Linked DNA regions of Oryzias latipes. The protein of the gene in region 1 purifies or fractionates together with the protein of each later gene. This does not show direct contact. Links are inferred from orthologs where the notes say so. Each region holds a gene or a part of one and is shown on either strand. Other genes may lie near its edges. The genes, in order: med13l and cdk19.

The links.
Region 2: the proteins of med13l (region 1) and cdk19 purify together in Homo sapiens (affinity purification with mass spectrometry; 5 studies listed by BioGRID and IntAct, counting the BioPlex papers as one, with this or other methods). This does not show direct contact. The link is inferred for Oryzias latipes from reciprocal best matches to the Homo sapiens genes MED13L and CDK19.

The regions. Positions count from the first base shown.
Region 1 is NC_019870.2:12,442,692-12,447,146, forward strand, and holds the start of med13l (mediator of RNA polymerase II transcription subunit 13-like), read left to right. Parts: upstream 1-1,426; 5' UTR 1,427-2,633; coding exon 2,634-2,705; intron 2,706-4,455. UniProt on the Homo sapiens protein: Component of the Mediator complex, a coactivator involved in the regulated transcription of nearly all RNA polymerase II-dependent genes.
Region 2 is NC_019882.2:10,351,351-10,355,814, forward strand, and holds the start of cdk19 (cyclin-dependent kinase 19), read left to right. Parts: upstream 1-1,644; 5' UTR 1,645-1,917; coding exon 1,918-1,920; exon of another isoform or gene 1,921-1,994; coding exon 1,995-2,140; intron 2,141-4,464. Other genes in the region: amd1 (S-adenosylmethionine decarboxylase proenzyme), read right to left, coding at 520-641.

The DNA.
Region 1 (4,455 bases):
ACTTTTTCTTGCTACTGTGCATAGCAAATATACAGCTCAGTTGATAAGGTACAGGACCGTAAGAACAAGGATGTATTAGAATGAGACGACTCAAGTAATCCTACTCAGAGAGGTTACATACATGTGGAGTGAATGGATGCTGCACCCACAGTCAAGACTTACTGCAAAGCAAACACTTGCACAGTGTTCCAACATTCACAATGTCAATGAGAAGTATATATTTTAACGCTCTTAAAGCATATTAAGATATGTATTTGGGTCATTTTCGAATTGGAGGGCATTTTATGTCGCAACCATCACATTATGAAATGTTCTGCATACAAAATACAAAAAAAAACAAAAACAAAAAAAAAACCCTGCAGTTAATAAAAAGGACTTATACTGGAACAAAATCTACAAAAACTACAAGAAAAGAATTCCTACAATTGTTTAAAAAATACCAAATAAGCATTGAGTGCCCCTAAAAAAATGCGATTTTATTCCTTGTCCCACCCCCTCTATGTCCAAATTTAAATCTTCAACAAAACAGTTATCAAAGGAACAAGTGTCCCACAATGTACATGCAACCCTTTACCATAACCTTTTTAACATGGTAGAAGAAGAATTACTTATTTACAAGAGTAAGTTCGTCCTCTTGGTGATCAATAACAGCTAGTTAAACAACTGGCTTGCACTCCTGAGAGATAGCTAAAATAACATTTTCGACCCTGTTACCTGCAAAAACATTTGGAAAATGTTGTAAACAACAAATATATAATTTAATAAAAAAATGTACAATTGATCAGTAAGTTTAGCTATTCAAGCATTTGACAGTTTAATACTTATTGATAGATATGCAGCAGAAGATCAGAAAAGTGAAGGTTTACTTTTCAGGAATTTTGAAGCCCAAATGTCCTCCAATTCTGGAAGGACCCATATATGTATACCTTTATAATAGGCCTTTATGTAATAGTAAATAGTAATGTAATAGTATTAAAAAAAGAATCAATCGTCTTAACAAAATAAGCAGTAACAACACAGGCCTTAATTATTGGTATTTTCCATAAAAAAACAACTTCACATGTTTTTGTTTTTCTTAAAGCTGCATCAAAGAAACCTGAATTGTAAAAGCCAGATTCAGGTCACGTGATGACAAAGTTGGCCAACTGGGAAAAGCGATTCTGAGCTTCAGACCTCCATTACATCACAATGCGCGATGGTTTTGCGGCAGAAAACAAGACGCTTTGGAGCTTCGAGTAAAAACAAGCCCACTCTCTCTCTCTCTCTCTCTCTCTCTCTCTCTCTCTCTCTCTCTCTCTCTCTCTCTCTCTCTCTCTCTCTCTCTCTCTCTCTCACACACACACACACACACATGTGCGCACACGCACGCACGCACAGGGTGACACATTCGGGCTGCGCACGCCCATCTCAGTGTAATAACGCCGCTGCGAGACATAAACAATGAGGAAGGAGCAGTCGCGGTGGAGGAAATCATGCACATGTCTGAGGATTTAAATCAACAATCAATTCATTTCTCTTGAAGAAAGCGGATTCATTGGGGGGAATCGAACGCACGCCACATATTCTTTCCTGTCAATAAATTCGGCGCCAGACGAGGAGGGCCACTTTTTTTGTGTGTGCTGCTTCGAGTGTACATTTTTTTGTAGAAATAGTACTGGATGTTTTTGAGCAAGACTGAGGCTTTTGTGGCCGCGCGAGGACGTTTCGTAATGATAGAAAACTGAAAGGAAGGAAGGATTTTTTTCTCTAACCTCCGTCTACAGTCGCCTGCCGTTTTCCTGCTGTTGGAGTGTTTTACTTTTTTCTTGCCTGAGCGGTTTGACTCATGGTTCTGAGCTCGACTTTGTCCCCCCCCCCCCCTCCCCTCTCTCATTCTACAGCCTGCCCGATCGTTTGATTGAAAAGCAACAGAGGGATTAAAACCTTCGTTCGTGCTCGCAGCGCCTGTTTTGTGTGAGCCTGGCTGGGTTACATTGTGAGAGGAACGGTTGTGGCAAGAAAGAAGGCTATAAATAGCGCATGCAATTCTCGAAAACTATCACAAGTGGTGCATCAGCTTGTTGGAGCAGACGGAATCAGATATCCTGCATGTGATATCTGCGCGTTTATTATTTCTCCGCGCCGTCGATCATGCGCATGCGGTTCGTCTAAAGAACAAAGTTGATGCGTAATTTTGCATTTTTCTGTTCCTGGGCGCAGAAGACGGCACTCGATCTCTGATGGATTATGGTGATTTAATTACGAAACTATCCGCGGACAGACTGCTCTGGAAAGGGTCTGGTCTTTTGTGTGTGGATTGAAGAAATGGAGCTGCTCTCCGTCAGCGATCAGATGTGGAATCGCCCGGACCGGATTGTAATGTTGTGATCCCCGCACATGCTTGGATTTATTGCGTTCAGGCTACAAGAAAGCTCGGGCTTCATTGGATGCATTCTGCACTTCTTTCTGAATACGCCCATTCCTCCACCGACCATCCCGTACAGCCTGTTATCCGGGACCTCCTTGTGAGGGTTTAAGCCTGCTGGTTTCGGCAGACTCACAAGGGGAACCGATTCGTCACCCCCTGCTCGGTGCTAGCAACCGATGTAGGATTTCGACATGCCATGCGCTGACGACCCCAAAGGCGGACGATTATGACTGCATCGGCGAATTGGGTGGCTAACGGGGCAAGCCTTGAGGACTGCCACTCCAACATCTTCTCTCTGGTACGATAAATCCTGTTCATCACACACACACACAGGCAGGCAGGCAGTTGTGATCGACAAAGTCATAAGACCGTGGGAGGCACGCTTCAGTGTGTCTGTGCGCAAAAGTGAACCAAACGCTGATGTTATTTGACAATCATTAACAAAAGATCTCCAGTAAGGCTGTTATGATGGCACACTCCACATACCTAACCAGCAGGAACTCTTCTTATGGTATTATTTTACGCATTTATTGCCAACAATTGGAAAAACGAAGCTGTCTTTCTCAAATATATTTCTATTGAAATATTTCCTAATAATAGTTTTATGTGTGAAAAGAATTCCATGACCTCAGGAACACTGAGGAAACAAACATGTCACACAACAAAGATGGCTTTTGGCAATCAAGCATATCACTTTCATTTAATATATATGTAAAAAATGGGTTGGTTTTTTTTTTTGACTGAGTGCAGTGTCATGCTTTCTTGTGCACAACTCTGGTTTTTGAGGGCGGAGGAGAAAAGAGCAGAGTGTTTTCACAGTTTTCATCCTGTAGTCAGCGAGTTAACTGTCTTACCACAACAGGCAGTCAAGTGGAAAGGCATGCAGTGGACTGGGCTCAGGCTGCTGAGAACCACAACAACATAGGGGTCCTGGGGGCTTTTCAGGTGAGGTGCAGGTTGAGGAGCAATAACAGTCCCTATTACATTAAACAAATCACTGCAAGGGTACACAAAACATGTTACTAAAGGAGGTTTGAACGAATGATCACAAAGAGAGTGAGGAAATATTTCCTTTTTTTACAGCACTGTGTAAAAAGCAGGGAGTGTGTGGGACTTAAAGCTACCCCATTAACTTTTTAAAAGCATCTTGTGTGACTTTCTACGCATTCATGGGGAGATGCATCCCAATATAAGCAGTCTTAAATCTTCTCAGCTTGACACAATAGAAAACAACGATTGCATTTCTGTCACCGTCTCATTCGTGGCTATTCCCTTGTGGGGAAAAAAAAAGCTCTCATTCACTCACTGTGGCTTTATTGGCCATCGTGAACATCCCTTTCAAACTGAGGGTGAACGAAACCATCCATCAGCCGGCTTGTTGAGAATATTTATGACTGGCGAGTGCCTCAGCAGTTACTCACTGGCAGGGTTCCTGCAGGGGAGTCCTGGATGGGACAAAACACTAATGACACACCAAGTGTCCTGGTTAGAGGCTACAGTGACAAATGTAGGGATGGAAAAATGTATCGTTGGGTTTACAGTGAAGGAATGTGCAGGGAAAGGTTAGAGGTGCAAGTTAGGATTCTGCAACACAGCAACAGATTTTTAGCAAAGTTGCAGTTGTTGGGTATATATTTGTAAGTTGTCCATGTGTTGCATTCATCCCTTAACCCTGTTTTCACTTATTAGACTAACAAATGGGTTGCGTGTCCAGATATGGGAAATTCTAAGACTTGAATTACAGGTTTTTACGTTTATCCTGTTTAAAACTTGCAGTTTTAAATTCATCTAGCTGCACAAAGCTACTTTCTAGGGATACCACAATTGTCACTCAAAAACCGAACCACATGTTACACCATTAAACCGATTAGGGAATCCCTACTGTATACCAGTATGTTTACATTGAATGTGTCCAAAAGTTGTGCTAAATTAAAGAAGGTTTTAGCAATTATTGTTTTATTACATTAACCCAGGCTTATTATGAGCCAAGTAGAGGGATTTTCTTCATCGTTTCTTGCTTTCTAGCAAATTAAAAAAAAAGGATTTTT
Region 2 (4,464 bases), on another chromosome or scaffold:
GGGAAGGAATCGCGCCGGCTAATGTCTGGAAAAACAGGTGTCAAAATGGGCCTGGAGGTGACAATCCTCACCGAAGTGACAGATCGGAGCGGCGGTGATGCGGTCAAACCCGCGCAGGACACGTCCCGGATCCATCAGATGTTAGTTCCACGGATCCGGTGGCATTAAGTCTAATGGATTCATACAGTTTTACGGGTGATTCGTCCCCGAGCAGGTGACGGACAACCACGACTCGGGAGCTGCTGTCTTCCCGAAGCAGCCGATGAATGACTCAGCGTTGACGGACCACACTTAGGGGGAGGTGGCCATTTTCCACTGTTTCCAGGGTTGCAAACTAACCAACATCAGGCTCAAAGACCCTAACTCCACAATTTCACTAGTTAAAGCTTTAGACATTTACGGTTATTTACGGAAACAACAACTAGTTACGTTAAGGAACGACGACGTAGCATAGCAACGAGGCCGCGCATGTGGTCCGGAGGCTAACGACCAAACCACTGACTGACGGAGAAGACAAACCTTGGGATAGAGCGGAGGTCCCCGGTGCCCTTAGTGTCATCCTGGCGGCAGAACCAGACCTCCAGCAGCTTCTCGGTCCCCTCGAAGAAATGTGCACCGTTATCCTGATCCTCCATCATCATGATGAGACAACAGACACCTCAATAGTCTGTCAAACCTTGGTAGTATGGTTTACAGCTTAAAATGGTCGTTCCTTGGTTCGCTTTAACTTATTGAGGTACAGTATTTTAACAATCTGGTTGTTTGCTTGTCTTGAGTTACCGTCTTCCCTGTAGCAGAGAACAACGTAAGCGAGCGCTAGCTAATATCGCCGGCCATACTGTGTAGAGCACTGAGGAAGCGGCGCGCGGTGATTTTATACAACGACGCCGTTACGTCAGCGGTGCGCTGAGCCACTCTCCTGGTGAGGTTTTATTTACTCCTTTATGATTGGTCCAGGGATCTGTCACTCATGACTCAAACACTGTGACGTAATAGACACGTTCGTTTATTCTTTAAACTTGTTTAGGTCTAAAGAAAACTTGTAAAAGTCTAAAGTATAATTAAAAAGCTGTCTTTTTTCTATCAATACTTATTTTGTACTAATTTACTTGGGTGGATGATTGATTGTTTTTTTTTAAATATACAAGCAAATACATAAATACATTTACTTACAATTTTGGAGCTCAAAGATTAATTTTCTCCACGAATATAAAAAAAAAAATAATGAAAAGACAGTATCTACTCTATCTTTTATAGAAAACAATAGTAACAGGTCAAAATATTTGAGGTTCCCCCCTCATTTGAATCCTTTATCCAGTAAAATTATGATCACATAGGCTATAACGTATAAATGCAATATAAAAATTAGTATGCATTTGCTTTGTTAAGAGATATACATACAGTTGTTTTCATTATAGTAGTTTCTTTAAACAGGTTTTTTTTACTCACTGAGAAAGTTAGATTTTAACAACAATAATTTTGATAATTTTTTTTTTACTTACGGAGAAAGTTAGATTTTAACAACAACAGTATTTATAATCAAATAATTATTACATCATAATTAATACTTTTTAAAATCTTTTTTCTCTTATTAAAATGAATACTGCAACTACTATTAGTGGTAAAACAAGTTTTAAGGAAATAATATTTTCAATTAATGGCTGATGTTTCAGACAAAAATTTCCATAAAGTCAAACAGCAGAGGAACATTTTTGAAGAAAGTTCTTTAGTACGCAAAGTGCAACAAACCGCATCAAGAAACGCGGGTAGTAGTTTATTTTCCTTCTCTTTACTGTTTCCTCAATGGTGTCAACGTCCCATTGGAACTACACTACCCATCTGGCAACACGCGCCAATTAGAAACGTCAACGAGCCAGTGAACATTAAGCGGAGCAGACCAAAATCCCAAACAAGGAAATGGTGGGGGAATAAAACGACCAGATTATTTAATGAATGCATGTAATAATTAATATTTTATTTTTTTGTAAATTAAGACGTATTTATGGGTTGAAATGGATTACGACTTCAAAACAAAGCTGGCAGCGGAGAGGGAGAGAGTGGAAGATCTTTTCGAATATGAAGGTTGCAAAGTGGGTCGAGGCACCTACGGGCACGTTTATAAAGCTAAGCGCAAAGACGGGTAAGAAGATAACCGTGAACGTTCTTGTTTTGTTCCGAAGTCTCATATCGACCGCTCGCTGCTGCTCGCGGTCTCAGATCTCACTAACGGGCCGCGCGGCTCGGTAGGTTCGAAACCCACCAAGGCAAAAACCTCTGTGTTTTTGTTTTCATGGAACGCACGCGCGCACTCACTCACTCACCCACCAACGCCCCCTCCCCACGATTACACTCATTCACACATACACATAACATACAAATGCGCGCGAATACCCCCCCCCCCTCTAAACTAAGTCCCAGACGAAATGTTAAAACAACGCGGCTGTTGTTGTTGTTTTTTTTATCGAGGGGGGGGGGGGGGGAGTTCACGCGGACGCAGGTCGACGTGACCGCGTTGCGCCTCGCGGCTTTTTTAGGCAGCAGCTTTGGCTCTAGTAGAGACGTCAAACTTTAGTAATAGTTTGTCACGTGTGTACCTCCAGCAACACCTTTGTTGTTAGATCAAAGGAGCAGGAGGAAGACTCAGATGCTCCCATGACTGCTGTTTCATAGACCCTCTGTGGGACTTTGAAACAGCAGGCATGAAGGCTCGGAGTTTAAAACAGAAGCTGTGGGTTTTTGTTTGAAGGTGGAGTTCATCAGTCTGTGGTCAGTCAGAGGTGATCTTCATGATGTTGCTTTTAAAATTTGCAGTTTTGTAGGAAATCGGTACAGATTTGTTAGAACTTTATGCTGTTTTGTATTTTGAACTTTTTTTTCTGCAGCTTGATAGGGCTGCATGGTTAGCACTCTTGGCGTGCAGTTCCTGGTATGAATCCTGGCTGGGACCTTTTTGTATGAAATTTGCATGTTTTTCTTGTGTGTGTGTGGGTTTCTTCCAGGAACTCATCTTTCCTCCCACAGTCCAAAAATACAATCAAGGGTTAATTGGTGACTCAAAATTGTCCCTAGATGTGAGTTTGTCTCGTTGTGTGGTCCTGTGACAGACTGGTGATCTGTCCAGATCTTGTCTGTAAATGAGAACTGGACCGACATCACCCATACAAAATGGCTTGCTTCTGGTTCCACTAAATGAAGTCAATTCAGTTGCCTTTTTTTTTTTTGCAATATGCATGTTGCTATGTTGGTAAGCAGTGATTGATCTGAGTAAATGTTTCTATGGCAACAACTTTCGCTAATCAGGAGTGAACTTGTTGAAAGTCCACACCTTTATCAACTGAAAGCGTGCCTAGGAGAATCTGTCAATGAAACGCTTCAAACGTTCCGTGTTAGACCACATACTTTTATTGAGGCATCAGATTGGTCATTAATGTGAATAGCTTGCACTACAGAAAAAATATGGGAAAATAAATTAGGATTAGCAAGAACATGTTAAAAAGGGTAGCAGAGCTAGAATGTTTATTCGGACCTATAGAACGACTGAGTAATATCTGTTTATTATTCAATAGAAGTCTGTGGGATTTGGGCTGCTAGGAACCAGCAGGTACTTCCTATTTAGAATGTGATGGGAGAGGGATTACCCAGTCCAGTTGTCATGTGCAGTCAATGGGCCAATTCGCCCAATAGCAGCTGGGATGGGCCCTAGTAACCCCATTACCCCAACAGGTATTCAGCAGATTTGGATGATGGATGGATGCGTGAGGTGGACACAAAAGGACCGTTTGGGCCTCAGAATGTCATACCGTCAAGAAAAGCTCACAACCTTGAAAGCAGACTGACCTTATCAGATGTTGTGGCTAAAGAGTCATCTCTGGTTCCCATGACGACAGAAGGGTCACAAGAATTATTGTTCTGTTTCATAAAACAGCTGTGAATGTTTGTAACACACACATATTTTATAAATCAAGTAGATATTGATCTTACCCTGTAAAGTTCAGAAACCGGTCAACGATAAAAACAATAAAAGCTCCAGTTAAAAAAATCTCCTGTTTTGAAATCCAAATGTTGTCTCTTTCTTCCTTTTTCAACCATGGAAAACAAAAGACAGAACCCTACGGTTAGGTTCTGAAATACTCCTTGTGGGACCTACTGCTTGAGTTGATTCAGAATCTCTGTATATTCATGTTTTCATAGGGACGAAGGGAACATTGGACGATTCTTGGAATGGGGTTTGTTTCAGTGGATCGTCCATTGTGTTGATGAGCTGGAGGTTCTTTTAAATGGATCAGGAGGTCAAACTTGTTTTATTGTTCACGCTTCGCTTTCCTTCCCAGACTTTCTTTGGGGAGACACTGTGTGAAGTGTGAAAGCAGCCTTAAATGTTTACATGTAGGATGAAAGTGGTATGGAACTGGACGTCTTGACTGGGTTTGAGTTTTTTTCGTCATCTGGGATGGTCAGATCAGC